3 linked regions of the Arabidopsis thaliana genome follow. The protein of the gene in region 1 binds, or shares a complex with, the protein of each later gene. Each region holds a gene or a part of one and is shown in the gene's direction. Other genes may lie near its edges. The genes, in order: GIP2, AT5G17410 and SPC98.

The links.
Region 2: GIP2 (region 1) and AT5G17410 share a complex: the UniProt entries of both Arabidopsis thaliana proteins name them as parts of the gamma-tubulin complex.
Region 3: GIP2 (region 1) and SPC98 share a complex: the UniProt entries of both Arabidopsis thaliana proteins name them as parts of the gamma-tubulin complex.

Annotation. Positions count from the first base shown.
Region 1 is NC_003070.9:27,738,981-27,749,244, forward strand, and holds GIP2 (mitotic-spindle organizing 1B-like protein (DUF3743)), read left to right. Parts: upstream 1-5,668; 5' UTR 5,669-5,833; exon of another isoform or gene 5,834-6,032; 5' UTR 6,033-6,038; coding exon 6,039-6,242; 3' UTR 6,243-6,449; downstream 6,450-10,264. Other genes in the region: AT1G73760 (RING/U-box superfamily protein), read right to left, coding at 386-520, 611-748, 850-948, 1,031-1,180, 1,600-2,181; AT1G73770 (coiled-coil protein), read left to right, coding at 3,235-3,436, 3,603-3,976; AT1G73780 (Bifunctional inhibitor/lipid-transfer protein/seed storage 2S albumin superfamily protein), read left to right, coding at 4,892-5,188; SARD1 (Calmodulin binding protein-like protein), read right to left, coding at 6,781-6,980, 7,089-7,185, 7,309-7,497, 7,580-7,740, 8,535-9,072, 9,732-9,810, 10,107-10,198. UniProt on the Arabidopsis thaliana protein: Required for gamma-tubulin complex recruitment to the microtubule organizing centers (MTOCs). During mitosis, modulates gamma-tubulin complex localization, spindle stability and chromosomal segregation. Necessary for gametophyte development and embryogenesis.
Region 2 is NC_003076.8:5,725,351-5,735,942, forward strand, and holds the start of AT5G17410 (Spc97 / Spc98 family of spindle pole body (SBP) component), read left to right. Parts: upstream 1-5,259; 5' UTR 5,260-5,300; coding exon 5,301-5,384; intron 5,385-5,499; coding exon 5,500-5,558; intron 5,559-5,673; coding exon 5,674-5,722; intron 5,723-6,025; coding exon 6,026-6,160; intron 6,161-6,593; coding exon 6,594-6,725; intron 6,726-7,263; coding exon 7,264-7,347; intron 7,348-7,424; coding exon 7,425-7,523; intron 7,524-7,622; coding exon 7,623-7,714; intron 7,715-7,996; coding exon 7,997-8,069; intron 8,070-8,143; coding exon 8,144-8,296; intron 8,297-8,384; coding exon 8,385-8,504; intron 8,505-8,590; coding exon 8,591-8,644; intron 8,645-8,788; coding exon 8,789-8,872; intron 8,873-8,988; coding exon 8,989-9,063; intron 9,064-9,149; coding exon 9,150-9,260; intron 9,261-9,493; coding exon 9,494-9,619; intron 9,620-9,730; coding exon 9,731-9,838; exon of another isoform or gene 9,839-10,249; intron 10,250-10,303; coding exon 10,304-10,366; intron 10,367-10,442; coding exon 10,443-10,517; and 1 more. Other genes in the region: AT5G17380 (Thiamine pyrophosphate dependent pyruvate decarboxylase family protein), read right to left, coding at 1-1,370; AT5G17390 (Adenine nucleotide alpha hydrolases-like superfamily protein), read left to right, coding at 2,290-2,764, 2,851-2,936, 3,042-3,338; ER-ANT1 (endoplasmic reticulum-adenine nucleotide transporter 1), read right to left, coding at 3,665-3,949, 4,032-4,403, 4,491-4,754. UniProt on the Arabidopsis thaliana protein: Gamma-tubulin complex is necessary for microtubule nucleation at the microtubule organizing centers (MTOCs). Required for the positioning of the gamma-tubulin-containing complex on pre-existing microtubules and for the proper organization of cortical arrays.
Region 3 is NC_003076.8:2,050,585-2,061,176, forward strand, and holds SPC98 (spindle pole body component 98), read left to right. Parts: upstream 1-5,943; 5' UTR 5,944-6,156; coding exon 6,157-8,411; intron 8,412-8,523; coding exon 8,524-8,785; 3' UTR 8,786-9,275; downstream 9,276-10,592. Other genes in the region: AT5G06670 (P-loop containing nucleoside triphosphate hydrolases superfamily protein), read right to left, coding at 1-66, 193-342, 474-626, 711-818, 949-1,053, 1,247-1,351, 1,517-1,579, 1,729-1,796 and 8 more; WCRKC1 (WCRKC thioredoxin 1), read right to left, coding at 10,268-10,463, 10,552-10,592. UniProt on the Arabidopsis thaliana protein: Gamma-tubulin complex is necessary for microtubule nucleation at the microtubule organizing centers (MTOCs). Required for the positioning of the gamma-tubulin-containing complex on pre-existing microtubules and for the proper organization of cortical arrays.

The DNA of each region.
Region 1 (10,264 bases):
ACTCACAAGCACTGTATACAAATTAAATACAAATGATACCTTTAATTGATCTCGTGTATGTGTAGATTACACTAAAGATAAACGATGTTACTTGCACGTAACAATCTCATCATTTTCATGTGACTAATATAAATACTAGATCTACCTAACATTTTTGTAGTCGACGACCTAATTATCACCAACAAAAGATGAACAAACCCACACGCAATGTGGGGTTCACAATGTCTCCGAGACTTTTCCATAGGTAATACAAAGGTCTCAACAGTTTTTCCTCAGAAAAATAGCAATCATGAATAAAAAGCCAAAAAAGAATCTTAACATAAAATAGTGATTTGGTTTCAATCCCGAAATCAAGAATCACATCACAGGAAGAGATAATATCTAACTAAGACTTATTGTACGCCATCGTTTTACAGACCGGACAAGAGTTCTTCCTCACAAGCCATTGATTCACACAGTCGATATGGAACCTGTGCCCACATCGTAATTCCCCTACCTCGTCCTTCGCCTCATACTCGTCCTGTCAATAGCCAAAACATCAACATTCTTAAGGAACAAATCTGTTTTCTACTAGTGATTACTTGAGCAATGAAGCCAAAAATGGACTTACTTGACAGATGATGCACTTTCTATCAGCAACTGTTGTATCTTGCCGGCATGGTTTGACTTTCCGAAGACAACTTTTGATCTGTTTTTCAGTAAGTCCAGTGTTCACATGCCCAATTCTTTCACCAAGCTCCAAAAGTTGCTGTTTTTTTTAACAACAAAACAAACACAACAACACTCAAGAACCTAGTGAAATCATCATCAGCTTCTTTACTAGTACTTTGTGAGAAAGGCACTACCAACCTCGTATGTCATGTTATCGACATTGAGCCTCATGTCACGGAATTGATCGAATGAGCTTAATACTCCTCCCATCACAAAACCATTCTGCATCATCATCATCTGCAATGAAACACCCATATGTAAGAAAAATACATATTGGAACAAGCTCCATATGAAACTTAAGTCAAAAGCAACACTCTACCTCAGCGAGTCCATCAGGGTAAGGCAGTCTTAGATGACGATGATATCTATCAGTCTGCTCAGCCCGCGATGTCAAAAAACTCGAATCAGAATCAAAATAAGGATTAGACTCTTGATTGAGAGATCGTCTAGGAAGAAGAGAAGAAGAACCCTGCAATGTAACAGTTGAGTTAAAAGATTTAGGAACACAAAAATCCAAACCTCATACTGAAACTACTAGAAAAACTTCATCAGTTACAAACAGACTGAAAAAAACTTACTTTTAATCCACAGAAGCTTTTGATATGATATCAAAGAACAAAGCCTAATTTTGTTATAGATACGAAAAGACGATAAACCTAAATCAAAACGGAAAAAAGAAAAAAAAAACTAATGCTTGCTAAGTGTGCTAACTACTAGATAGAGGCAAATCAAATATTCTATAGATATTATAAACTAACTTAAGATATTAAAAACCCTAAATATTTAAGCTAAATTTCAATAGATACTCAAAATCAAATTAACAACATACACACGCAAAGAATAATAAAAATGGAAACTTTAGGATTAAAACAGAAAATGTAAATGTACCTCTCTATGATTATTACTGTTACTATTGGTTTTATCTCCATCGATTTTGCGTCTCACCGGAATATTCCTTCTCGGAGGATCTGAAACAACTGTGTCAATGGAGCCTCCGACGACAGCATCCGTTGAAAACCCAACTCCAGGACCACACCAAACATCAGGAATCGCTGCGCAAGCGACGCTACTACTAGTACTAGCTTCGCTCAAGATCTTAATCGAACCACCATTGTAGCTACTACTACCCTTGTTCTTGTTCTTCTTCTTCGTCTTCTTAATTTTGAAATTACTAGCATCCCAATCCGCGGAGGAGCGAATCACTGCCGGGACTGAAACTTGCTGAGATGCGGAGGTTGTGCAGCCTAGACCACGAAACGACGCCGTTCCGTTGGGTTTCTTCTTAGTAGTTTCTGGCAAGAGGAAGAAGGAAGACATGGCGGATTTAGAGACGCGGCTAGGTTTGGGGATTAGAGGTTCGTCGGCGGTGGAAATGGGTGGGAGATTTCGATGATTCCTAGGTCGTTGGAGTCTCATGTGTTGACCGATTGTTGTTGAAGAAGATGAAGAAGGCTCTGCAGAAACTGGCATTGTGTTCTTTTTCTCTGTGAGAGAGAGAAAAAACAAAAGAGAGATAGAGGATAATGGAGACACAGGGCGAGGAAGAAGGTAAGTGAAAGGGCTTTCTTAAGTTGGATTAGTGAAACTAATTTAAGTAATTAGTACGTTAACTAATCAAATTCTACTTTTTCATTTATTCTCTAGTTTGTGTTTGAAGTCTACAAGTAACCAAATTAGATATTTTCTTTCACATGTCACATACTCACATGTAAATGTGTGGTTTATACTTTACTTTAGAGTTTTAGGCTTTTAGCACTGTTGCTATGTTTGAAATTTTGAGATGTGAGTGTAAAATAGGTATTTGTAGCTATAATAGATTCTCACCGGTCTTTGTAGAGTTGGACCCCTCTGTTTTTTTTTCTTACTTCCTATCAAAGTATCAAGATTTGACTTGATTAAAAAAAAAAAAAATTGCTTTGGGTTCACTTTTTTGGTCAGAAACGAAGATAGATTTGAGGATATTTATTGTCTTTTGCTTGTATAAATAGAAAAGCTCTCATGTGTCAACTTTTACTTTTTTTTCTTTGTCAGAGGTATTTCAATTTTTATTTATTTCGAGGTATGAAAAAACAAAGAAACATTAGAGGATCACAAGTCACAGGTTAGTAGTATATTTTTGTTTATACCGCCACAAAATTATAAATCTGTATATTTTATACATAAAAGAGTCTGCCACACACAAGTATCCAAAGAATATTGGTCCGGATTTGCTGGATCGAGATTAAAGGAATAATAAAAGGTGATAAATCGTCGAAAATATTTGGTGCGTCACATAACTGATTAGTCGTCCAAATTTGAGCGAAAATTGAAGTTTGGGCTAGAATGGGCTGGGCCTGTATGTGCGCTGTTCCATAAACGACAATGAAAACGGACAGGTCATCTCGGGCCGATCCGGTCTGATCAGTTATGAAAACCGGAAACGAAGAAGAGCGGTTAATCTGTTAACAGATTAAAAAAAAAAACTATTGGCTCTTGATTCAAATCCCTAATCCTCTGATAAACCCTAGTCTTGAGGCGAATCCCATGAGACGATTTCTGCAGAGAGTTCCCAGTTTACTGGCTCGAAATATCCTTCACTCACCCGCAAATTTCCGCCATTTGAGAATCAACAACCCTCGTGTTGTTGTTCCTCTCTTCGAACGAGCTATTTCCCGGTTCGTCTTCTTCTCTTCCGAGTCCGACTCGTCGCGTGGTTTCAGAACTGAAGAGGTTCTTTCTAAAGAAGGTGACATTTCTTCAACTCAACTTCTTTTGTTTGGTTCTCAAGAAAATGTACAGTTTTGAATGAAAAGGAAGAGAATTTTGCAATGACAGAGTTAGCTGATCAGCTCATAATTTTTCATGTAAAGATTATAATTTTGCTTACTTTCTTAATCCAATTGGTATTTCAGAGCTGAAAAAAAGAATTCAAAGCTTTTTGGATGATGGAAATGAGGATGCTATACCTGATTTATTTGAGGCATTGATGATTAGGAAGTTATCAGGGAAGCACGATGATAGTGATGATGAAGTGATGGATGTGGTGCGTAAGTATCCAGTTAACGATGCACATAAGGTTGACGATATTGACTCTGATATTGAGAGTGATGGCCATGGTGATTCGTCTGATTCAGATATTGAGAGTGATGACTTGAGAGATGGTGATTCGTCTGATTCCGATGTAGAGTTTGATGGTTTCAATGATGTTGGCTTGTCTGATGTCAATATTAAGACTGATGCCCTGAAAGCTAATCGCTCGTCTTATTCTTACTCTGAAAGTGATTAACACATGGTAAGTTTTGGATTTCGCACCATACGGTACTCGCAAAGAGAACATTTTCTTCTGTATTTTACAGTCTCTTATTTTTTTGTCACATTTTGCATTTTCTACTTGTATAACTTGATTAAATGGATATACAAATTATTTAGTACTTTAGAGATTTTCTAACACTGTGCTTGTTAGAGACTATTTAATCTTTAAGCGTGTGATTGCTTGCTTAATCATGTGTCTTGGGCTTTGTTTATCCTATTCATTATGTGCTAAGTATGAAAACCTTGGTGGCTGATACCACATGGAGAATATGGATTCTAGAAAAGTGTCTGAGTAAACTTAATATATACTGCAGCTTATCTTCTTTTATTCTTTCATGGCCTGATATATGTTTAACATTGTGATCAATGAACTCTAATTGGTCTTGGTTTTGGGCCACAGACTTATGCACTACATTGAAGATTTTGAAAGGAAGCAACTGCCTAGTGAATGGAAACAGATCAGTTTTTGGTCCATGTTGGCTGTAAGTTCTGCCTTTTGAATATAATTAGAAATTTAAGTCATATTTTGTGCTTAGTACAATAGTAATGAAGTAAAATATATAATTATGAAGGTGTTCTCATTACTTTGTTTAAGTGTCAACAAATTCATATACCTTCACTGGGGGTAGCCGAAAGCTGACATCTATTTTGGTTACACGTGGTTTCATAACTTCTCCAAAATGGTGCCTAGGTGTTTTTATGCTTTGTCCGAGCCTTTTAGAAAAAAGTTAATCTCTTTTAGACATATCGAGATCTCCTGCAACCACAAACTCTCGTTTGAGTAACGTGACTCACTCAAAGACATTTTCTTCTATAAATAGAACGAGAGAAACCCACTTTAAACTCCAAACCAAATATCTTCTTCTTCTTTCTATAACTTAGTGAGACAATGAAGGGTTCTTGCACAAAACCAGTGTTTTTCACTTGTACAATCCTTCTCATTTTAATTGTTGCCCAAGAAAACAGAGTCGCTGCAGTAGATCCATGTAATCCTGCGCAGCTGAGTCCATGCTTGGAGACCATAATGAAAGGGTCTGAGCCATCGGATCTGTGTTGCAGCAAGGTGAAGGAGCAACAGCATTGTATCTGCCAGTACTTGAAGAACCCTAACTTCAAATCTTTCCTTAACTCCCCAAACGCCAAAATAATCGCCACTGATTGTCATTGTCCGTATCCGAAATGCTAGTCCCAGTATTTCGTTCTAGTTTTCGATGTTCTGTTTCTTGCTTTCAAGACCAAAAAAGGTGTTCTGTTCTGTTCGCTCATCATCGATGGTTTTTCTACTTCAAGTTTCTTACTTTTGAGTTTGGCTTTCCATTAATGTGTTTGTCGTCAAGGAATAAATCTTGATCATCACATATTCACATTGATATGTTTTTAAGAAATTTCGGATAATTCGACTAACATAAGCTACTTAAAAGTTAAAAGTTCCAATTTCAAGGATATCACTACAAAATAAGTCTCTAAATTTGGATGCAATTTTGTCAATTTTGGCCGAATTAATCATAACAAGGTCTTGAATCCCTTGATTCCGACAAAAAAGAATCCCTTGATTAAAACTAGTTCAGAGACTTCGATTGTATTAAAACCGGCGGATTTTATTTAACCGACCGATTTGATATGAACCAGTAAATATACTCTGAACCGGCCAAAGGTTTATTTTCTTAAAAAAAACAACCCTAGATTTCTAAATTCTAATTGTTGGCCCATTTTCGCCTCTTCTTCTTCGATCACGAGATCGAGAATCGTTTCTCTCAATTATCTCAAGCTCTAAGATCTCACTTCTTCTCTCTCAAACTCGACGCCGTTCGTTTTCTCCGTCGATTAATCGGTTCGTTTTGTTCCTTAACCTTTTTCCGATCTAATGTATCTCTTGATCCGTCGGCAAGTCTCCGATTTCCACTTTAAGGGTTTCCATTCTCTGTACATCCATGGAGATCCGTACAAGAATAGAGTAGATATTCATATGTAAATTGAATCGTTTCCGAAATTGATATTTTTTTGTTCTGGATGATGTTTGGTGGTTTCAGAGTATTATGAATCAGGAAGCAGCTGAAACAGCGAGAGAGTCACTGGAGCTGGTGTTTCGGATGTCGAACATCTTGGAGACAGGTCTTGATCGACATACTTTGTCTGTTCTTATAGCTCTTTGCGATATTGGTCTTAACCCTGAGGCTCTCGCTACTCTCGTCAAGGAGCTTCGTAGGGATTCTGCTACAACAACAACTACGGTTGATTAAGAAGATGCCTAATCAAATAGTATCATTCATGCTTGTTTTCTAAGTTTCAATTTCATTATGCTATTGATGTGTAAATTAGGGTTGGTAAGGTAATTGAATAGAGAGTTTCAGAGACAAATTGGTAATAAGTATTTGAGTCATCCCCACTCAATCCTTTTGAGAGGCTTTCTTTAAGTAAATCACAAAGTTACCCTCATATTCTTGATTTCTTTTTTTAGTCAATACTTTCATCAAGTACGTACATATACAGCGGAATCAATTTTTCTAAAACGTAAAAACGTAAAAATTTGTTGAACGTGAATGGTAAAAACAACGTTTTCATACAACTGTGAAAACGTGAACAAGTGGTATACCATCCAACTAAAAATATAACTCTAAACTTCACACTTTTATGTACAATCATGATCAGCAGATCTAGAATACATGTTTTACCATCATGTACGTAGTAGTAGTTTAAAGTTTAAACCCTTATTTAGAAAGAGTCCAATCTCGGCCAAGGCACTATGGCGTGTCTTCCAATACTAACGTAGATGAGGATTTAGAAAGGGTTTATATGATTTTGAGACGAAGATCCGGTGAAACATATATTGAATTCCGCTGGAGTCGTTATATACCCTTCGTTTACTATCTCCAAATTGTTTGTAGATCTCTCTTGAACATATCCGTTTTGTTGATATGATTTATCGATTTCGATGTTTTGGTAGTGGCTCGCAGCATATTGTTGGTCCAAATCATCACCTATATAATCAAAATTACATTGTTGTAACATACTATATAATCAACGATGTTTCGCAATTATAGAAAAACTGAAATGGTGTTTATGTTGACACTATTTTAAAGTAATACCTTGTGTCAAAAGAGCAGCCTCGTTCGCTGTTCGTTCGCCCACTTCTAAAAAGTTCCCCTTTGAGTAAGCATCTCGAACTAAGTTCTTAACGTAGGGCTGCAACAAAACATTACCATAGATGAATTAAAAAAATAAATACAGTTTCTAACTAATAAACAATCATTGAGCTATCAATAATTGCTTAACTTCTTTAATAGAGAGAAAATGACCATTCAATACCTGGTTGAGGGATTCTTGACTAGAGAGAACATGACCATCGATAAGTGCTTTCATAACTTCGCATATCGGATTCAAAATCATGAAAAAATTCGGTCCTCTAGAAATGTATAACTTATTTCCCAAAATACACTCTCTAGCATGTTTCAATGTTACTTCCCACTTTCTATCAGACATTCCAGGCCCCAGAATCTGTACATCAACAAACCCCTATTCCTATTAGTTCTCTAATAATAATAAAAATTTAGGGGTCAAATAAGCTAAGAATTTAAACCTGACGGAGTTCGTCGACGTCAACGACGGATAGTTTCAAAAAGTCTTGGACAGTGTTGATGTGGCGAGAGGAGAGCTTCTTGTGAAAGGCCCCATCTTTGCCTATCTTCTCTAGCCGCCACACTTCGTCTTCTAACATTGGTGGGTGATGTTTCTTGTACACTTCACCAACCCCAAGTTGTACAAAACAAAACTATTTAGAATTATATCTAGTTTTCTACTATGTATCTTCTTTATATGTATTCGCTTTATGCATGTGTTTGTTGATTGTTATAAGATTCGGAAAATATACAGAGTATTAATTAATACGATATAAGCATTGATTGACCAAAGACTTATAGGCTCTTGTATAAAGTGGGATAGTCGTTTGCATACGGTCCACATCGAAAATACTTTTAGTAGTTTTTTTCTAATTAAGAATTAAAAATTGAATGTGTATATATATTAAGACAAATTAAAGCAAGTATAGTTAATATTTGTAGCCAAAAGCCCAAAACATATCATGACAAGATACAACAATTTTGTAATACCCAAAAAATTTTATATTTCTATACTAGTGTTTAATTAGAAAAACTAAGATTCTTTTTAAGAAGATAAAGCCAAAAGCATCAATATAGATTGATATGTTAATAAATTTGAAAACGAAATTATGCAAATAAATTTTGACGAAAACAAAACATCATTTTAATGGATTTCTGATGCACATGTGTTGTATAAATGATTATCTTAAAGGTTATGTATGATTGATAGTAGGGTAATCCATAAGAAGATGCCAAATGTGGTCAGGTCAAAGATAATTGAAACTAGTGATATGTTACTATCACATCCCCTAGTGGAGTACTGCTTAATGAATATATGCACAAAACTCATTATATATGATGCATAGATTTATTTGTTATATATTCATTAATTTCTAATTAGGTAAAATATTTAGTAATAAAGAAAAATAAACTTACATTCTCCACGATGATCTCTAACAACAATCGCTTCAGTCATCGCTTCACAAACCACAACGCCTTGACCGCTACTCCCTTTCGCAACTTTCGCACCGATTCTAAACTTACGGCTACGAATCCAACTCGAATTGTCTGTGAACACAATTTCTCCGATTGTTGCAACGCCGTTTCTCACCGTCACACTTACTTCTCCGGCAAGTAACGGCCGTTTCCCATCTCTTTCTTTGATGATGTTACTCTCAAACTCATCACTAGTCCATTTATCACCCGAAGGAAAATCTCCGTGAAGAGCAACGATGTCTAGTTTGATTGGACGGTTGAGATTCACCGGCTTGTTTGAGTCATCAACAAGGATAATCTCAAGTGGATTGTTGTCCACGTCACTGATTTTACTCCCTGTAAATATTGGTGTCATTAAGTTCTTACGGAAAATTAGCTTCAGTGTCGGAGTAGTCGCCTCCGGAGCTTCGATACGGAAAGACGATGACCGAGATAATCGAAATCGTTTACTAATTCCATATTCCACTTCTTGTCTTACCTGGTCACGTTACCAAAACGAGTAGAGTTATAAAACACTCTTATCTGTTTTATATTAACAAATAATTTGATATCCTTATTACACAAATTAAACAATACATACTAATAAATTAAATATGTAGGCCAATATATAGATCTTTTAAAAGGTACTAGCATATATGTGTGTGTGTACGTGTGTGGACCATTATTTTGTCTTTTATTTCTAGATATAGTTGATTGAAATGTTAGGTTAGAGAGGTCTTGTTTATTAATAATACTAAAAAGATTTATAACTTTGTAAATATTTAGTACTATCTTAATAACGTATGTGTATATATATGATATAAGAATGCAACTATGCATGTACATGCATATGTTTGTTACCTAAAATGTATATAGTATTAGCAACATGATCGAAATTTTCTTATTTTATCAAGTTCCAATTCGCACACTAGACATCGTCAATGCTAGACTAGTATATTTGTATGTTAAATTACACTTGTTACTTTAAGTATGTGTAGTTGATTAAACATGGTAAGTATGAAATTCTAATTCTCAACTCGTTCATTTGAAATATCCATGTATATATATATATATATATATATCCACTACATTAATTAGAAGTTAGAACAAGTATTTAGAAATAACAAAATAGAAGTGGAATTATTATAGTATACTTACAACTTTTCTAATAACGGGCTCTAGGACAGAACGAAGGGTGTTTTCTGAGATCAATGCTCCAAACACACTGGAAATTGGCCTGCAAGAAACAAAAAATATAACAAAAATTTATCAGAAAAAGGTGAATAGAAAATAAAATCCAAGAGTAGTAAGATCTAAAGGAGATATTATTTTAAGGATAAGAGAGAGAGTGAATAGAACATATACATAAAATACAAGCATATATTTATATTTAGATTTTAAGGATAAGATGTGTAAGAAAAAAAGAGGATTGAACACTGAACATGTTCCAAACAAAACTTAAGATTTGTAGAAATGATTCATCATAAACACAATACAAGAAAAAAAGAATGAAAAGTTTCTGAGAAAAATTACGAGGCAAGGGATGGTAGTACAGATTTAATCCGTTTCTCGGACTTATTTTCTTGGTCAGAATCAAGATCTTGAAATAACCTCTTCCCTGCCATGGAATTGTTCTGGTGAGTTGTGAGAGAAAGAGAGGGAGAGTTAGAGAGAGAGCGCTTAGATCAAAA
Region 2 (10,592 bases), on another chromosome or scaffold:
TCTCCTTCAACAGCGACAACAAGCCGATCAGGAGAAGCAACAGCAGCAGCAATACAATAACCTAAACCAACACCCATAGTTCCCCAAGTTCCTGCATCAAGCCTTGTCCTTGGCTCTTTCTGAACCAAAACAGATCTTCCTACATCCATTGTATTAGCTCCTTCCGATACCACAACAGGACTCGGTCCTTCCACAGCCAAAATAGCGTCTCTGATTATCCTCATAGGAGTCAAGAAATTGAAAGGAACCACATCTTTAGCAAGCTGTATCTCCATCTTCTCACCATTCTCTTTCGCCTTCTTCGAAATCGATTCCACCCATGAATTAGACTTCCCTAAACAAAAAGGATCGTCTTTGATCTCTCTATTCAACAATCCAATCACAGTTTTAGCATCTCCAACAATCCCCAAATGAGGTTTCCTTAGCTCAATCTCTTCCTCAGAGACATCCACCAATATAAATTTTACATCTTTATCCCATTTAGGCGACTCTCCGAAATGAAGAAGCCAGTTAAGCCTAGCTCCAACCACCAACGCGACATCACATTTCCCAATAGCAAGAGACCTCGCCGCAGTCGCCGAGAACTCGTGTGTGTCCGGTAACAAACCTTTACCCATCGGAGTTGGTAAAAAGGGTATTCCAGTAATTTCAACAAGCTTCTTCAGCTCATCTTCTGCTCTCGAATACGCAGCTCCTTTACCAAACACAATCAACGGCCTCTCAGCTTTCCTCAGCAACGAAACCGCCGATTCAATCTCCGATCTCAGAGATCCACGAATCGGTTCTTCCTTCCGTGATCTCTCAACCTCATCCACCAATTTATCAGCTTCCGATTCCGATATCTTCTGACGCAACACATCAGTCGGAATATCCAGATAACACCCACCGGGTCGACCCGAAACAGCTCGATCCAAAACCCTAGAAACACAATCAGGGATTTCACGAACATCTTTCGCTTTCTCTGATAATTTCGAGAAAGCTTTAACCGCTTCGATCTGATCAAGCTCCTGGAAATCTCCACGACCAACATCTCTCTGATCACAAGAACCAGAGATCATCACCATCGGCCATGTATTAACCCAAGCGTTGGAAAGACCCGCGAGCCCATGAACACAACCCGGACCCGAAACCGTTAAAAGGATACCCGGTTTACCCGTGAGGTAACCGTAAGCTGAAGCGGCGTAACCAGCGGATTGTTCGTTGTGGAAGGCGATGAAACGTATACCTAAAGCCATAGCTCGGCTAGCTAGAGACGTGACGGGGATTCCAACGACGCCGAACATGTGGGTTACGCCGAGATGAGAGAGTGACTTGGCCACGAGAACGTTGCCATCAATTGACGGTGGAGTGGTTTCTGATTTATCCGCCATGTTCTCTTGGATTTGCTCAAAGTTTCAGTTTCTTCTACTTGCTTTAGTTTCTTTATATAGCCTTTTGTATTTGTGTTTTACTCTTACTGTGATTACGTGTTTTGCATTAATGCTACTATTAGCCTATTATTGACTTCTTTATTTGCATTTTGTGTGTTCTCTGAAAATTTTATCTACAAACTTGTACACGTAATTATGTGTGTTTTGCTAATTTAAAAGTTATCTACGTAGCAAATAGTAAAATTCTCAACAAATTGATTATACGACCAAACTATACATGAATTTCTTTATTTTTGGCAACTTACATTATTCAATAACAAAGTAGTATGACAGATAACTTAATTTACAAAGGTATTGTGATTTAGTGATTCAATAAAATATATCTTTGGTTTTGGTCACTAGCGACTCCTACTTACCTAATCTTCTCAATAATTTGGATTTGGATGTGATAAAATGATAAATTTATGAGTTCATGGTTTGGAACAAGTGACCTTGTATAACCCTTGAGGGCTGCCACTAGAATTGTTTTGTAGTTAGCAAAGAAAACAAATCAAATTTGGATTTGTTCTTTTACACAAAGTGGATGATTTTGACCACGACAAAACTAGAGCACCACTCAAAGATTTCTCATGATTTTGCGAGTCTACAAAATAAATTTTTTTTTCTCCAACGGTAGTGAATTCCACAATCGATTGAGCTAACAATTTATCAAATAAACTTGGACTCGTTTAATTTAATGAAGAAAACAGAAGAGCTTGACAAAAAGAAAAAAACAACAACGTGTGGAACCATTAACAATCAAACATCTTTAATGGCACGCACGTCCTCTCTCAAAAAATTTCCTCACGTATACATACGCTCAAAACATTCAAGAACCAATGCTAAGGTTCCCATTTGAGTTCTTTTTGTAAACAAAAACATGGCGAGATCGCTCAAGAAATCAGCCAAGTTGAGTCTAAGAAGAGTCCGGATCAATTCACCTTCGATTAGGTTCAAACCGGACTCGAGTTCCATAGAGAGAGACCAAAGAATCGAGTTTCTAGGCGAAAATGGTGATGATGCCGGATCCGGAGAAGAAGACACCAAAGAAGCAAACAATGAAAGTGAAGAGGTTGAAGATAAGGAAGAAGAAAGAGTCAAAGTAATTGTAGAGGAGGAAGAAGAAAAAGAACAAGATGATGCCAAGAGCTTTAACATTGGAGGCGGAGAAGGAAAAAAAGAGGCGGTGGCAGCGGTTGAGGCGGTTGAGGAGGAGGCGGAAGGCGGGAATAGAGTAATGGTGGTGGTTGATAAAGCGCTTGCTTCTACCGGAGCTTTAGAATGGGCTATTACGCATACTTTACAACCACAAGACACTCTTTTTCTGTTATACTTTGCAAAACCGTTTAGAAAAAGTTCTTCTCTTTCTCTCCTCTTTGTCAATTTTCTTGTTTAAGGTTTGTTTGGTTTGGCTAATGAGGTTTTTCGGATTGAGTTTTAGGTAAAAGGAAGAACCGAAAACGCGAGGTGAAAACCGATGAATTGGTCCATACTTTAAAGAAACTGTGCCAAACGAAACGACCCGGGGTGAGTCACACTTGGTATTCGATTGTTTATACATATAATGAAAGCTACACTATTACTGTTCTGATCAAATTCTGGCGACGTGTGGATTTCTTTTATGAATGTCAGATAGAAGTGGAGATAAGGAGGTTAGAGGGGAAAGACAAAGACAAAGGGCAGAAGATAGTTGAAGAATCAAAGAAACAACAAGTGAGCCTTTTAGTGGTTGGACAAGAGAAGAAACCTCCGGTCTGGAGGCTATTGAAGAGATGGGCGTGGAAGAGACGCCGTGGACACGAAGGTGTTCTCAAATACTGCCTCGAAAACGCCTCTTGCATGACAATCGCGGTTAAACCCAAGAACCGCAAGCTCGGCGGTTACTTAATCACCACCAAACGCCACAAAAACTTCTGGCTTCTCGCTTGACAACAACGCAAGTTTTCCTCTTTTGTGTTTGTATCATTCATAAGGCTTTAAAATTTTTTCACCTATTTCATCTTTTATACATGAAACAAACTTGCTCCAGTACACAAAAATCAAATAGGCCTTTCTTGGATTATTGATATAACAATGTTACTGCACAAGAACTATGAACAATTTTCCCTATCTTCTGCTGGTTCAATCGGTTAATGATTCCGAGATTCTGTTAATTAACACAATACATTGGAAAGCAAGTGAGACTTCTTGGTGTTTACTAACCTTCTCTTTTTGAGCTCAGCTTTCATTGTCATCGTTTCGGGTTTGGTCCAAAACTACTGAACCCAATGCTTATAAGCAATCTGGTGAAGCTGATCATATCCCGCAAGCACTCCTGCTCCTGCTACTCCAAGAAGCATGTTCGCAGTAACTCCTCTATATAGCGCATAGAACCCTTCCGACTTCAATATCTCTCTTAAGGCATGAATGGTGTTCCGGTATTTAACAGGTTGTCCTGATGTAAGCATCATTCTCCTCCTAAGTGTGTCAAAAGGGTAAGCAATGACGCCTGCAGAGGTAGTAATACTCCAACCCAATAGAAAACTAGCCAAGAAGTTTCCCTGTCACGGAATCAAAGAACCATTTTTAGCTATTTTCTGCTATAGATTAAGAAATAATAACGGCATACATAGATGACATTACCTCTAAGGAACCGACTAACACAATGGGTTTGATGGTGTCGTACATCCCAAAATACATTCCTCGGTAAAGAGTGATTCCCACTATTGACACACCAAATCCACGGTAAAGACCTTTAATACCGTCACTTGACAAAGTTTTACGATACACATCGATCATCCCTTTAAACTGTCTCTTGCCATTAACAGAACATTCCTTTGCATCAGTGCCTAAACGGGTCCGCGCATAATCCAAATGGTACAGAAACAAGGAAGTTGTTGCTCCAGCAGCACTTCCCGAAGCTACATTTCCAGCAAACCACTTCAAGTAACCATCTTTCTCTTTCGAACATCCAAGAAGGTTCTTGAAGTAACCTTTAAATGCAAAGTTGGAAGCCTAAAAGCAATTAAATTTAGTGACAATAAGAATCTAACACAAACCTCAGCACGCTGATCTAAAGTAAGGGTTCTTGGAATGTAGTACCTGTGTAGGGAAATATCGTATGACATTGGCTTGGTTTCCTCTCCAAAAGGACAAAACACCTTCTTCTCTATAGATTCTGGTAAAGCAATTACCCAAACCAGTGTAAGGTCTTATGAGATGTCCAGTCTTTATCATCTCCCCTTGATTCTGCAGTAAAAGCTTCACCCTTTCGATTGGAGCAGCTGCAGATTTGGCAACAATGGCTGCAGCACCACCCATCACAAAATCAGCAGAGAATCTCTCGGATTTTCCGATCAAAGCCATCCTCTTTTCCCTCACCTAATTCTATACCAATAAATATAGAGATGTTATGGGCAAGAGTTTCTTCTGGGTTCTAGAAATATCAAATCCTAAAGCTAAAAAGGAACAAAATTTGATAATAAAAGGAAAGGTTTTGAAGTGAAAAACCTGGAGATTGCTAATTGATTCTCCGCCGCAGAGAGAAGAACTCGGCGGCGAAAGATTGATTTCCAGGTCGAGGAGGAGAAGAAGAGGAGGCGATTTCGTTATTTCGTTTTGAGAAGCCAATAAAATAGAAAAGAGATAATCATTTTCTGTGAATTTCAAAGCTGGAGGTGGAGGACAGGGCAGGAGCAATGGCTGGTTTTTTCTTTCTTTACTTAAAAAAATGGTTTTGTCCTTTTTTAATTTCGAATTTGAAACCAGGATCTGGAAATTTCTGGTTCAATTAAAACCGGACATTTTAAGGAAAACCGGAGATGGTTCGGTATATGGTGACTGTCTGACTGATCTGTGTCTTCTTTTTCATAAAGGTTTAAACTTTTAGTTCCAGAGACTGGGAGCGAAGCAATGGAATCAATGACGCCAATCTCGTGCCCTACGACTCCTCGTTGGAACCAAGACAGACCATTTCTCACTGGTCGCTTCCATCAGGTGCTCGATCTTCAGATGTGCTTGATTTTAGTTCTCTAATTCGTTCAAATTCTATTTAATTGTGAACATTGGTAACTTCTGAGAAAAAGTAGTTTTGACAATGGGTTTATCTCAGGAAACGAGGGCAAGCTCCAAGTTTGCTGATTCTAAGAGGTTTACTTTAGACTCGTCTAGGTATTTTGAAATTTTATACTAAAAATTAGTAATACATCTCTGTTTTAACCTCCCAAAGTCTGTTCCTTTTTCATCTTATTCTAAAGAGTCATTGACCTTTATATTTTGCTTTCAGCAGTTCTGGAGTAGAGCAGGCAATTGGCTGCTATGACACACCGGTTCAGGTTTGTGTTATTTTACAAAGCAAGTCTGTCCCTTTTTTTCTTGGCTTCCACTTATTCTGTGAGATTGTTATTATGTAACCTTGAAACTAGTGTTGGGGTCCTTAAAGCTTGGGTTTGAGTTGTGTAGTTTTTACAAGTTGGCATCATTGTAGGTGAAGTTGGTTTCTCGTTTTCGTGGCATAGACTAGGATAATTGACCTGAGCTAAACAATTGTGGAACTTCCTAGCCTAGGTTTAGAATTGGTGTCACCTCTTTTGTTATGTCCATTTCAGTAACTGTTTTTTATTCCTTTTGGCATGCAGGAGCTTATCGTCATTGATGATCTCTTATCTGCGTTGGTTGGAATTGAAGGGAGATATATTTCAATTAAAAGATTCCATGGGAAGGAGGATAGTATAGCTTTCCAAGTTGATCCATCAATGGATTTGGCACTACAGGTAAGTAGTACTCAACACAATAACTTTTGGTTCCTATCCCAAACATTTTTATCATGATGGTCTACAGTAGTCAACTGCAAAAAATCTGTGATTTCTAACCATGCTTGATCTGTTCTTTCTTAGAGCTACCGGAATTAGTGCATATGTATCATGTATGTACAAAGTCTTTCACATATTGAGACTGTTACAGTGATGTTTGCAAAGTGTATATTTATGTTTATGAAACTTGATGCATTTCATTGGTGTTCTGACTTCTTGAAAGTTCAATTATCTCCGAAGTCCAATAAAATGGACACATGCATTACTATGTTATGTCTAGGATGGTTCTCTCTTTTGAATAGGATTTTTAGAGATGTTATAACGGATTAACATTGTAATTCTTTATTTAATTGGCTCTTCTCATATATATTGACCGTTGCAAATAATTTTGCAGGAATTGGCGAAAAGAATATTTCCTTTATGTGAATATTATCTGCTGATTGACCAATTTGTGGAGTCAAGCTCGCAGTTCAAGAACGGGCTAGTTAACCATGCATTCGCGGCTGCACTCAGGGCACTCCTCCTTGTATGTGATATAGGTTGCTAGCTTTGTGGAAATTGTGATCCATTGTTTGTTGAGTTATTTTTCGTTCCCTTTCTGTTACAGATGGGGGATTTTGCGAACTGGATATGGATTTTTTTAACTAATAGTCAAGTTTGGGGATTTACTCAGTAAACTAAAAATATGAACTTGGAAAGCTCATTTTAGAATGCTCTTAGTTTGTTTATTGGGTTTCTTTCTTGTCCACTGAATTGGTGTTTTTTTATCACATTTCTGAGTGTGTGTATATGCATATGTATGAATATCTAAGATGACACATATAGCTCTTACTGTCTTCTTTGTTCCAAGTTCTTACTGTCTCTCTAATCCCTCTCTTACTATTGCCGCATTGAATAAACTGATAGTCTGATTCTTTTCTTTCCATTTCACATCTTGAGTTTCGTGTCTAACACATGTCATGCATTTTTTGGACTGAGGATATCATTTTATGTTAGCTTTGAGGTAATTTGACAACATTCTTTGCTATTGTTACACTAGTATTAACCATCCTCTCTTTTACCAGGATTATCAAGCCATGGTGGCACAATTGGAACATCAATTTCGACTTGGAAGACTTTCTATCCAAGGATTATGGTTTTACTGTCAGGTCTGTCTTTCTTCAAATAATCCAAGCTACAAGTTACGTAAACATTATGCTGATCGATTGTTTTTCGTATCTCTCAGCCCATGATGGGATCCATGCGCGCATTGGCTGCAGTAATTCAGCAGGCTTCAACGAAGCAGTTTGTGGGTTCTGGTGTTCTTAATCTCTTGCAAAGTCAGGTAGATTCCTGCTTTGGTCATTAAAAGTTTTTGGATTTTTTTGGTACTAGAATTAGCTTTTTTATTAAATGTCCTAATCTTGAAGACTATCATGCCTAGGCTAAAGCGATGGCTGGTGATAATTCAGTGAGGTCATTGTTAGAGAAAATGACGGAGTGTGCAAGCAACGCATACCTAAGCATATTGGAAAGGTTGATTACCATGCCTCTTTCTTTCTTGCTCGTAACTAGACTCCCATAAAAAAAACATTGTGCTACAATCTCTGCCCTTTCCCTTTTGTTATTGCTTGGAATGCTCAGATAAATCTAAGTCCAACCTGTGACTATGTTTTTCCTTTGTTTGGATGGAGTGATTAGCGAACATGTTTGTTATCTTTTGGTTTGGCAGATCTGTACATGGTTACCCTATTTGCTAGATCGCTTATATTATTATTCTTTGATGTGTCAACTAACTTTAAATAGTGTTTAATTAAGGTGGGTCTATGAAGGGATCATTGATGATCCGTATGGGGAATTTTTCATTGCCGAGAACAGGTCTCTCAAAAAGGTACTTCGATTGCTCAGCTCGTCTGCACTATTGTTAATTGCTTGATCTAACAATGTCAATTTTTTTTTGTACAGGAGAGCCTCAGTCAGGACTCTACAGCTAAATATTGGAGCCAAAGATACAGCCTTAAGGATACTATTCCTGGCTTCCTAGCAAACATTGCTGCAACAATATTGACCACAGGGAAATATCTAAACGTTATGAGAGAATGTGGGCACAATGTTCAGGTATGATTGTGAATGAATTTCCTGTTTATTAATACAATTAACAGTGTTTGTGACACTGGACCCGACATTGGCTGATTTTTTTTAACAGGTTCCCATATCAGAGAGATCTAAGTTAACAATATTTGGGTCAAATCATCATTATCTTGAATGCATAAAGGCTGCTCACGAATTTGCCAGTATAGAGCTTGTGAATCTCATCAAGGATAAGGTAATACTTATTTTGTTTTATGATGACTGCTTCTTTGATGTCGTTCCTCGTCAATACACCTCTCTGACCATCAGTATATGATTCAGTATGACCTTGTTGGAAGGCTTCGATCTATAAAGCACTATCTTCTTCTCGACCAGGTATGCTGGTTCTGTTCATGAATAACCAGTTATCTTCAGAGTTCTTCAGAATTTCCTAGGCACAAATTTATCAATGTGAAAAGTCTGTTGTTGAGTTGTTTTCTTCAGTCATTGATTTTGGTATAACAATGTAATGAACTACAGGGTGATTTCTTGGTTCATTTTATGGACATTGCTCGAGAGGAGCTCAACAAAAAAGTGCATGAAATATCTGTTGAAAAGTTGCAGGTACTTTTTTCCCCTTTAGAGCATGATTCAAAATATTAGACAAAGCTTCTTACCATTATTAAATCGTTATGGCCTCTACTTGTTTGCTGGAATCTAAATGGATGTGTATTATTTAGTCTTTGCTAGATCTTGCTCTACGTACCACAGCGGCTGCAGCAGATCCTCGTCACGAAGACTTGACTTGTTGTGTGGTGAGCAGTTAATTTGTCTTTTCCTGGATGTGATGAATTTACAGAGTTTGTACATTATATGTTCTCACTTTGTATTCATATCTTAGGATCGAGCTTCATTGCTTACGACTTTGGGAATGCACAAGGACACTGATAGCAATAGTATTGAGGACCCAATGAGCATCACTGGTCTAGAGACATTTTCCTTGAGCTACAAGGTCTGCTCCTTTCTTGCCTTGTCTGCAACTACCTGTTTGTATCTGGATTCGAACTATTTTGTTCGTCGAGATATATATAAGTAATAACACAGCTTAATGGCTATTAATGGTTGTTATATATAACTACTAATGCATTTCTAGAGTCATCATTCATACTTATATAAGTAATCGACAAATGCATATTCGATTGGCTACTCAATTGTTTGATTGTTGGTTGTGGCTTTGTGTTTCAGGTTCAATGGCCACTATCTATTGTCATATCAAAGAAAGCATTGTCAAAGTACCAGTTAATTTTCCGCTTTCTTTTTCATTGCAAACATGTGGAACGCCAGCTTTGTGGTGCTTGGCAGATACATCAAGTAAGGACTGATATAATATTGTGTAGCTTGTAATTTGTTTCAGTTTTGGTTTCTTCTAAAACCATTTTAATCATTTTGCTTCGCTAACAAACTGCTGTGAAAATTCTACAGGGGATTCGGTCTATGAACTCTAAGGGTACAGCAATTCTTAGATCATCGCTTCTCTGCCGTAGCATGCTTAAATTCATCAGTAGCCTTCTACATTATCTTACATTCGAGGCAAGTCTGAATGTTCTTTTTGTTTTGTTTTGTTTGTTTTTTAAAACATTTTTTTTTGCTAATAGAATGGAATCTGAATATTTTTTTGTTTTTTAAAGATTCTGATTGTCTATTCATAGATCCTGTTTTCCATTGTGATTTTGCGGTGTAAGTCTCTGGAAAACTAACTTCTAGAATTGCTGACATACACTCTGTATATTGAATCCAGATATCTCTGTAGTCGTAAAAACCATACTTACAAATGTAGGCACTTCTTGCAACTGTGTTTTTCGAGAAATACATTCTTGAAAACGTGATTCTGGAGAAATAAGTACACTATCAATGAACAGAGGAGAGAAATCACACCAGAAGTATATAAAGACATAATTCTTTATGAGATGATTTGGTGTTTATTTTAGCAACTATTGCCTCTCTAAGTTTTTCTAATGTTGTTTTTGCTTGTCTTTATGTGGGATGTCTCTTCAGGTTCTCGAACCAAATTGGCATGTAATGCACGATAGACTACAATCCACAAGGAGTGTAGATGAGGTAAGTGTAGAGACCTGCTTTGTTTTGGTTTGCAGGGAAAACATTCTTCATTGAACAATGTGCCATCATCTTGCAGGTGATACAACATCACGACTTTTTTCTTGATAAATGTCTGAGAGGATGCTTGCTTCTTTTACCTGACGTCCTTAAGGTTTGTCGCTGTTCCACTAAATGTTATGTTTTCTCAGGACAGATGTAACAGTGTGATGTGCTTCTCTTTCGTGCA
Region 3 (10,592 bases), on another chromosome or scaffold:
AGAAACATACAATTCAAGGTTCTCATCATCTGTCAAGTCGCGCCTCTTATGCGGTAGGTAAGCAAGCTGGCCATGCATTATCAACTAAGATCAGCCAAAAAAATAGTAATTGGCAGACATGATTTTGGGAAATGAAGAGTTATGTTTTATATTGTTTTGTAAAATAGGTCTAGGCTAGAAAAGTGATTCTACCTCCTCTTCTCCGAATGAGTGTCTCCTCCGAGGATCAGCACGATAAGAAAACCGCGATGTTTGTGGAGTTTTATTAGACACGAGAATTAGTTTTGTCAGCCTTTGGATTCGACTCAAGAGAGCTGCTTTAGCATCTTCCTCTTCTTCTAGCTTTTATAATCACATCAAAAGAAAATCATGCAAAGCAGATTTCAAGTCTCCACAAACTGAAGCTTGGTACAGTAAAAGTATCATTGGTTTGTTGAAAACATTTAAACAGGGGTCAATGCAGAAAAACATACTTTCTGCTTCAGGAGAACAATGTCGATATCATCTCCACTGATATCCTTTAGCTGAGAAACTGGTTTAATTCCTTGTTTAAGCTGTTCCAGCTCCTCCTTGAGTTGGCGAATCTCGTATTGGTACTTCTTGATCAATGATTTCTCATCAATTATCTGTAGTTTTATAAGGTTAGAAATCCAGAATGAATCTTCAGTACAGACATGCACTAAGCTAAAAGGATAGATGTAAACTAAGACCTTGTTCTGTGCGGCTTGAATCTCAATATGCTTTGCACGATGAGCAAACTTCAATGTGTTGTGTGTTTCTTCAGAGTTGCTTGATGCAGGTGTCACTGTACATATGAGCTATCATATTCCAGATGGAACAATCAATCAGTTAAATCGATCATAACAATTGTTTTCTGCTGCCTATGTTCATGTTGTGTGTGTCATTAATTGGAACAAGAAGCTAAAACAGATCTCTGACAACACTTACAGATACACGTCCATGACCACTCAGTGAGGACTCAAGCAGTCTGGTTAATTTAGAGTCCCTATATGGTACATGACTAGCCCTTCTATCTGTAAGCTTTGATATTACCTACAAAATTGCAAAAGAACGTACCAACTTCAGCTTTTGGGAGATTACTTAACATAATGACTGGAAGGCAAAAAAAACCAACCAAGCTTTTCAGCTGTAAAGGAGGTGGAAAAAGCCAAAGAAGTTCTTAAATTTCAACTAAATTCGAAAAACTATTGTTGCTTGGGAAAAACAGTGAGAACCAAGAACTCACGGTCCCTAAAGTTAGCAAACTTTTATTTATATAAGACCCTTCCTTGCGCCTTAAACCGCTGGTTTCAGCTTTTGAGCTCTCAGAACCTGCCAGGTCAATGAGGTTCTGCAGATATAAGTGAAATTATGAGCAGTTAATCAGTTGTTCACCTTTAAGTGTTCAAAGAGTGCAACAATAAACAGTTTATATAGTTGATTATGCTCCAGAGTTGAAGAAAAAGTAAGCTATAACCGAACATAAAATTACAGGATAAGAACAAAGATGTTATACCAGCTGCGAGAGGTGTACTGCTCCACCTTCATTATTGTCACCCAAGGGACTACTCTCTATAGTCTGCAACCAAACCAGTTATAACATCTTTCAAAAACTTTACTGATAGATATGAAAAGACAGCCAAACTGTATACTTACATTACTAAACAGGGGAAAGCAAAATCAAATAAATAAATCTATCTATGCTTTGAAAGAGAAAAATAAACATACCAGGGTAAACATTGTATGGCTTCGGCTGCTGAGCAAATTAAAACTTGTGGATCCAATATGTCGGTGCTCTGTCATCAAACGAAAATTTAATCAAGATGACTTGCATGATAAACATAAGAATGAAGAAAAAAAGTAGTAGATTTAAGAGAAGGATTAAGAATGAAGTGAAAATACTAGAATCAAGAAAGAGATGCTAGTCTTCAGAATTGCTATCTCATATCACATAAAATACCCCAACTGGTAAAGGAAACACTTTCTGACAAAGAAATCTTATGAAAATTTACATGGAAATGCCTACCTTCTCCAGCTGCTATGAGAGAAAGCACATGAGCAGGGGACAGAACAACCTCTTCTTTAATCCCTTCAATATAGGTTCCCTATAATCAGCAATAAAGAGAGAATCAGTGCAGAATTTAAGAGGGAAAGACACTTAATGCAATAGAGGTAGTCATGTTTATTCTAAAATTCTTAGCCCAACCAATAGTCAACAGGTACAAATCTAGTATACTTGAATAAAAAATGTGATCCAGAACATTCAAATATAGATAGATAATCATGCCACTTTGCACATTATTTGCAGGATCTCAGAGAATTTCATTTATATTAAAATGGAACAAGTACTTTCATGCATCTAGCCGAGAAAAGATGTATCCTCTAATTAAACAAAAATGGTGTGCTAGGATTTAGGATTCTATAATGAATATAGTCCCAACAAAGATATTATGAGACAGTGAAATCCGCGCTAAGCATGTTACCAACAGAAAGTAAATAAGAGGATCAAATGCTGAAACAAGTACCTGCTCATCTTCTCTGATCCTCAAATTTTGTCCTGCTGGATTCAACAAATCATTGACAACCTGAAGCAAAATGAACCCTAGGGATATTAAGAAAAATCAAAACCAGAATCTGACTATCAATCAACACCACTGGTAAAGTTGACGGGAGGGAAGAAAAGCAGGCAGTGAGTAGCACCTCGTTATAAATTTCAAAGTAGGAAACACGTAGGAGAAATTCTCGCCTTGGTGTCTGCGAGAAAAATGAAAAGTGTGATTTAACTAGCACTTAGGCCAGGACATTCGACTAATCAACATCCTAAGAAGTACCTCTTGTATAATGCTGAAAGCATCTTTCACGGCTAATGGTATTATACCAGGAGATCTTTGGTTCCCCTGACATTTGAACCAAACAAAACTTTCTTCATGAGATAAAATAGTTCTTATTTCATGCACATCTTTAAAGGTAAACATGGACTCTACAATGAAGTGTGTAAGATCATCCGGCATTAGGGCAGGGCCATGTATTGATCATGGCTGTCATAAGTGAAAAATTATAGAAGGTTGCAAAGTGTAAAGCAAAGAACTAACTTAAAGAGTGCAGCCATATGCTAAATTTAGTAAAAGAAAAGGCTTTCTAGGGTCAACAAAGAAACCCTAACTAGAAGGAATAGCCAAATATCTAATATAAACGATATATCTTAGGATTCAAACATCGAGTTCTATTGCTAATCATTATGGCTACTAAAGGAGAGAAACTTTGTTCCTGAACTACTCAGTGATTTAGCCAGAAAAGAAGGAAGAGGTAAATGACTCTCTGACAGATAAGCATTGTCTGGGATGACACATTGAAGTACATTGTACAAGGTAGTAACCTAATACGTTCTATTATAATAAGATGAAAAGCAAGAAATAACATGATTAGTGAATCTTACATGCATTGTATGAGTTTTCCCACTGCTTGTCACTCCATATGCGAAAATGGTCCCTGTGGTTGAATTAACACTCAAAGTCACTACAATAAAATCAAATTGGCAAGAAAATCTAACTTAAAGTTGTTCTAGAGACTAGAACAAGCACTAGATAGAGTTTGGCAACTCAAAGATCTCATTTTCTAAATGAATGGTCATGCAACTGTTCATGGTACTGTAGCTCGGGTAAGCTTGATACTAAAAATATCTTTTTCTCTTCTAAGAATAAAGTCTTAACTAGAGAGGGCAATAATAAGTGTTTAGTCCATACCATTGACCCCCGCCATAGCACCATTAACGACATGCTGAGCAGCAACATCATAGACATTGCGTGTAGTCGTAGTAGGCCCGAAAACACGATCTGCAAGAAAGGACAACAGAAATTTCAAGAAAAAATATGGCAGATTGGACCTTGATATCTAGTTTAATTTAGGTCTTGATTCATGATGCATGAAACTTCAATCCATTCCACAGAACAAGATTTATGATGGTTACAGAAACTCATGAAGTCATGAACACTAGTCAAACTGTTAAGACTAACCATAGGCATAAGCTATTGATTGATTATTCTCATTCCGCACTATCGTTTCCCCATCTGCATACCATGCAATCTCCTCTCCTTTCCGGATTTCCCTTGGACTAAGTGAAGCATAAACCAATGTCAACAATCCACAGAACAAACATATAAAACTAAAGTGTTTGAATCCTACACAAAAGAAATCAACATATTCACCTGAGTGGACGAAAACGCACAGTGACAGTGACATTTTCTTTGGACTGCAAAGGCTTAGGTGGTAACTGAGGCTTGCTTCGAACCGATGAAGAAGTAGGGGAGCTATGGCTATCTACAGACGCCTCTTGATAAAGTTTTGAAGACGAGGTTGTTGAAGATGCAGAGGACTCAACAGTCTTTAACTTGCTAAATCCACCATTTCTAGTCTTTGATACTTGTTTAGATCCCATCACAAAACCAAATTCAAACTTCGAGTGACTGAAAAAATGAAGAAAGTACAAAACTTTATCAAGTACAGACTGAAACCAAGCTAACGGAATTATGCTCGACTGTGTAATGAGCTAAAGATTCCTTTTTTTTTGTCAAACTGAGCTAAAGATTCCAAATTGTCATAGAGCAACTTGCAAATTGACAGGAAAGCAATGAAATTGGGAGTTTACAAAGCTCAATCGGTAAGCGAGTGAGAGAATCACAATGAGAGGAATAAGAGAATTACGGAAATGCCACGAGCTTCGAACACTTGGGTTAGGTCGAAAATTGCAATAAAAGAGAAGAAGAGAGGCAAGTGGGTACTAACTCAATGTAGCATCACCGCCGCTAAAAGCCGAATCGCATGCAAAGGATTATGATGATGCAAGAGAGAGTGAGTGATTACGTAGAAGAAGAAGAAGAAGAGGAACTTAAAGAAGAGAAAAGCATAATCATCATTAAAAGAGTAATTAGTTAGATGATTGCGATTGTTGTGTAAAAGAGTGTTTACTTTTTAATAATAATCTCTCGCTTGCCTTTGAAGTTTGAAGTGATAATACCCGAGTTTCAATTGTTTATTCGTTCTTCTCTTAAACTGTAATCACCAAAACATCATTAAGAGATAAAGATAAGAGAAGAATCGTATACGTACACATGTACAATTGTACGTATTTGCCTTCACGGATTTTTCTATGTCATAAATAGCTATAAACTTCTAAACTTTTGTTGTTGAATCAATTATGATTAGATAAGGAAGTAAATTGGTGTGAAAAAGATAAAGATATGGAAATGATAGTAAAGTAGTGTATATATATAAATGGTGTGCAATCTGTAACAAACAGAATATAGAGAAATTAATTAGTGAAAAAAGTAGAAAGTGATTGTTACAGGGAATATTTTTCCACATACGTAAAAATAGGTCTAATATTTTTACTTTTTAATTCCGATCTTGTACTTTTCTTTTTACAATTGATTAAAGTGGAAATAAGCTTCCTTTATTTTCATCTTCATTGATGAAAATAATGAGTAGAGAAACATTTTACTACCTAAAATGAGTAGAGAAATCATTCCTCTATTCAGAGAACAAATGTCTAAAATGAACTGTTTTTATTATTTTGCTCAATAAATACATAAATTTGGTAGATAAAACCAAATAATCTTTTTTAAATGCTAGTTAATTTTTTAAAAAAGTATACATTTTTATTGGTACCTTTTATTGTGAATTAAATATTATGAGGTTTTTTCATATTTATATATTTCTTTATTAATTTTAAAATGGAAAATTCTCAAAATTCCATTAAACAAAAAAATTCTACGTAACATATCAATTAACTTGTGAACTTTTTTTTAATTCAAACATTATTTTTCTCCGTTGTTTCAAATAATATATTTGAAATAAAACTTATAACAAAAAAAATGAGAAGATATTTTGCATAATGTTTTTTTATTCCAATGTTTTTGGATTTCAACATATGTATTCAATTGCCCGCCGAGGAAAAATAATTACATAGCTCTAAAGTCCAAAAGAAGCCCAATCTTTTTTTATTCGTTCACTCACTACTCTCTTCACTCGCCCAAACTCTGCAAAACCTCTTTCGATTTCAAAAATCAAATTCACCAAAAAAACTTCGAAGAACAAAAAAAATCCAAAAAAAGGTGAAATCGAAGAAGAAGAAAAAAAAGGCAAAAGCTTGAATTGATTATGGAAGACGACGATCAGCAGAAGGCTGCAGATCTAGTACAAGAGCTTGTTCTTCGTCTCGTCTCACAAAACCCTCAAACCCCTAATCTCGATCCCAATTCTCCCGCCTTCCTCAAAACCCTTCGTTACGCTTTTCGTATCCTCTCTAGTCGTCTTACTCCTTCCGTCCTCCCTGACGCCACCGCTATCGCTGAGTCTCTCAAACGCCGTCTCGCTACTCAGGGTAAGTCCTCCGACGCACTCGCTTTTGCCGATCTCTACACTAAGTTCGCTTCCAAAACTGGACCTGGCAGTGTCAATAACAAATGGGCTCTTGTTTATTTGCTTAAAATTGTTTCTGACGATCGTAAATCGGCTATAAATGGTCTTGATTCCTCGGTTTTGTTACCTAATTTGGGGATTGGTGATACTGGTAATGGGGTTTTGAGCCGTGGAGAGGCTAAGAAGAAGGATTGGAGTAATGGGGTTTTGTTGGTTAGTAAAGATCCTGAGAATTTGAGGGATATTGCGTTTAGAGAGTATGCCATTTTGGTTAAGGAAGAGAATGAAGTGACGGAGGAGGTTCTAGTGAGGGATGTTTTGTATGCTAGCCAAGGAATTGATGGGAAATATGTCAAATTTAACAGTGAAATCGACGGTTATGCCGTGCAGGAGTCTGTTAAGGTGCCTCGAGCTACGAGGATTATGGTTCGTATGCTCTCTGAGCTTGGTTGGTTGTTTAGAAAGGTTAAGACTTTTATAACTGAGAGTATGGATCGGTTTCCAGCTGAGGATGTGGGAACTGTTGGGCAAGCGTTTTGTGCGGCGTTGCAAGATGAGCTTTCTGATTATTATAAGTTGTTAGCTGTGCTAGAAGCGCAGGCCATGAATCCTATTCCTTTGGTTTCTGAATCAGCAAGCTCAAACAATTACCTTTCTTTGAGGAGGTTGTCGGTATGGTTTGCGGAGCCTATGGTGAAAATGAGACTGATGGCTGTTTTGGTTGACAAGTGTAAGGTTTTGAGAGGTGGGGCGATGGCTGGGGCTATCCATTTGCACGCACAGCATGGTGATCCGCTTGTTCATGATTTTATGATGAGTTTGCTTCGATGTGTGTGTTCTCCGCTATTTGAAATGGTGAGAAGTTGGGTTCTAGAAGGGGAGTTGGAAGATACTTTTGGTGAATTCTTTGTCGTAGGTCAGCCGGTTAAAGTCGATTTGCTTTGGAGAGAAGGCTATAAGCTCCACCCAGCAATGCTTCCATCTTTTATTTCACCAAGTCTAGCTCAGAGAATTCTGAGAACTGGGAAATCTATAAACTTTCTTCGTGTTTGCTGTGATGACCACGGGTGGGCTGATGCAGCTTCAGAAGCAGCAGCTGCCTCTGGGACAACAACTAGGCGAGGAGGTCTCGGGTATGGTGAAACAGATGCACTTGAACATCTTGTAACCGAGGCAGCAAAGAGAATCGACAAGCATCTGTTGGATGTTCTATATAAGAGATATAAATTTAAGGAGCATTGTCTTGCGATTAAGCGTTATTTACTACTTGGTCAAGGTGATTTTGTCCAGTACTTGATGGATATTGTAGGACCCAAGCTTTCTGAGCCAGCCAATAATATTAGTTCATTTGAGCTAGCTGGGTTTCTTGAGGCTGCAATACGAGCATCAAATGCACAGTATGATGACCGTGACATGCTAGACAGATTGAGAGTGAAGATGATGCCTCATGGCAGTGGAGACAGAGGCTGGGATGTATTCTCATTGGAATACGAGGCAAGGGTTCCATTAGATACCGTGTTTACTGAGTCTGTTTTGTCTAAATACCTGAGAGTGTTCAATTTTCTCTGGAAGTTGAAACGGGTAGAGCATGCTCTTATCGGAATTTGGAAGACCATGAAACCAAATTGCATCACTTCGAACTCATTTGTTAAGCTTCAAAGTTCGGTGAAGTTGCAATTACTCTCAGCCCTGAGGCGGTGCCAGGTCCTTTGGAATGAAATGAACCATTTTGTTACTAACTTTCAGTATTACATCATGTTTGAGGTATTGGAGGTATCATGGTCTAATTTCTCAAAAGAGATGGAAGCTGCTAAAGACCTCGATGATCTCTTGGCAGCGCATGAGAAGTACCTCAACGCCATTGTTGGAAAATCTCTTCTGGGTGAACAGTCACAGACCATCCGCGAATCACTTTTCGTCCTGTTTGAGCTTATATTACGGTTCAGGAGTCATGCAGATCGTTTGTATGAAGGAATTCACGAGTTGCAAATAAGGTGTGTTTTGTCTTTTATATTCAAACAAAAGTAGACCTTAAACTATTGCTCAAACATTTTCCTCTGATTTTAGGGTCACAATTTGATCTCTAATATCACCGATTTCCTGCAGATCTAAAGAATCAGGACGAGAAAAAAACAAATCGCAAGAGCCCGGTTCATGGATCAGTGAGGGTAGGAAGGGCTTAACACAGCGTGCTGGAGAATTTCTACAAAGCATGAGTCAAGATATGGACAGTATTGCAAAGGAATACACATCGTCACTTGATGGATTCCTATCTCTCTTGCCTCTGCAACAATCTGTAGATCTCAAGTTTCTCTTTTTCCGGCTTGACTTCACTGAGTTCTACAGCCGATTGCATTCCAAAGGATAAGAAAGTTGAAAGAGTATCAGGTTTAGTTGAAAAGCATATTGCACAATCGCAAGAGAAGAAGACATTATCTACGTCTTTCACTAACCGCTGACTGCAGCATGGGCTCTCCTGAACCAGGGATGCAGAGGTTCTTTTCTTAAAATCTAGGTGCGTGGGAGAATCTGTTTCTTATTTAGAGACTGCCTCATAGATTTTCTGTCTTTTGCATAGATTGTTTTTTCAATGGCTTGTTTCAAAGTTTAGGATTGGGAAACAGATTCTTTGTGTTGGTAAATTGGGGAAGGTTTGTGTTTGAGTTTGTGCTATAAGTCTGATGATCTCCAGCTTTAGTTTTTTTTCTTCTTCTGTGGTTCACTGATTTGTATGATTTGTTTTATGACTTGGTTGATATAAGAAGGAATCAGTTGCTTCTTCATAATGTGTATCTCCATAGTGTAAAAGGCTCCAAACTCTGAATTTTTCACTATCTAGAAGCTTCTGTAGCCACGGCCTGAGATTGAGCACAAGCATTAGCTCACAGTGATTTTAATCCGCAAGCCTTTCTCTTGCAATTAAGAAGAACCTTTGTGATACTCTTCCTCTCATCCACATTGATCTATCTCTGTGTGAATGAAGCATATGAACAACAAAAAACAAGTAGCTTTTGGCAAGAGTTACAGTCTCAAAATCTAAAGCAATCGTGTCCAATTTAAAAGAAAAAACAATTCACGGTTGTCGATTAATTTGCAAGTGCAGGCCAAACTGGAGGTTAACATATAAGGAAAAAAAAAAGGTGAAAAAATTCGTCGCCTGAGAGATTCGAACTCTCGCGGGGAAACCCCATTTACTTAGCAGGCAAACGCCTTAACCACTCGGCCAAAGCGACGATGATGCTCAATTAATGAATTGATTAATTTAATCGTTAATTGAAATTATTAGTATAAAATAGAAATCAAAATGTGAAATTTCTTCCAAAACATTAGCTTTTCATTCACTCGTAGAACTTGTAATAGAGTAGCTCATTTACTTGCCAAACATGGTTGTCTTCAATGTAACTACTACTCTGATTATGCTTGTCCTCCTAATTGAATGGTTGAACAATTGTACCTTGACTTTAGCCATTCTTAATTAACAAAGCTCAATCTCGACGAAAAGAAAAAAAAATGTGAAATTTCTTGATTATCAAAAAAAGGAGTTTTTAAGTTTGAAATTGTATAAAGAAAGAAAATAAGAAAACTGACTGTACATATTAATTTTTTTTAAAAGAAAAAAAAAAGGTAGGAAATGAAAAAAAAGAGAGAACTAGACAAATTTGTTGATCAATTCTCTAACTTCTTCGATGACAAGCCATCCTTTGTGACCTCCAATCACCTCCTCTTTCATCTCATCTTCCTTCCATAACTGCATTCACCACTCATTTTTCTCATTATTATGTTAATTTACTTTTTCACTATTACTTTATTGTCAAATGCGTATCAAGAAACTCAAAATACTGATGTTGTATTAGATGAAAGTAAGCATACCTGAATAGTAGGCATTTTCTGCATAACACACGAATATGGAAGTAATTGGTTCAGATTTGGCACATACCACATCAGAAAAGAAGGACAAAATTATGTTTAAGCATTTTACCGAAATGTTTCCACGTTTCACCAAGGTTTGAGGGACCTTGTTTACATCCACATAGTAAAACTTTGCTCTGTTGTAAGAAAAATCATTTTTGTTCACAATATAATCAACCTTTGCAATAACATCCATGTAAATTGTTGATTCTTTTGTTAGCTTACCGGTTATTATATTCTGCCGCTAATTTCTCCAACTTAGGCTT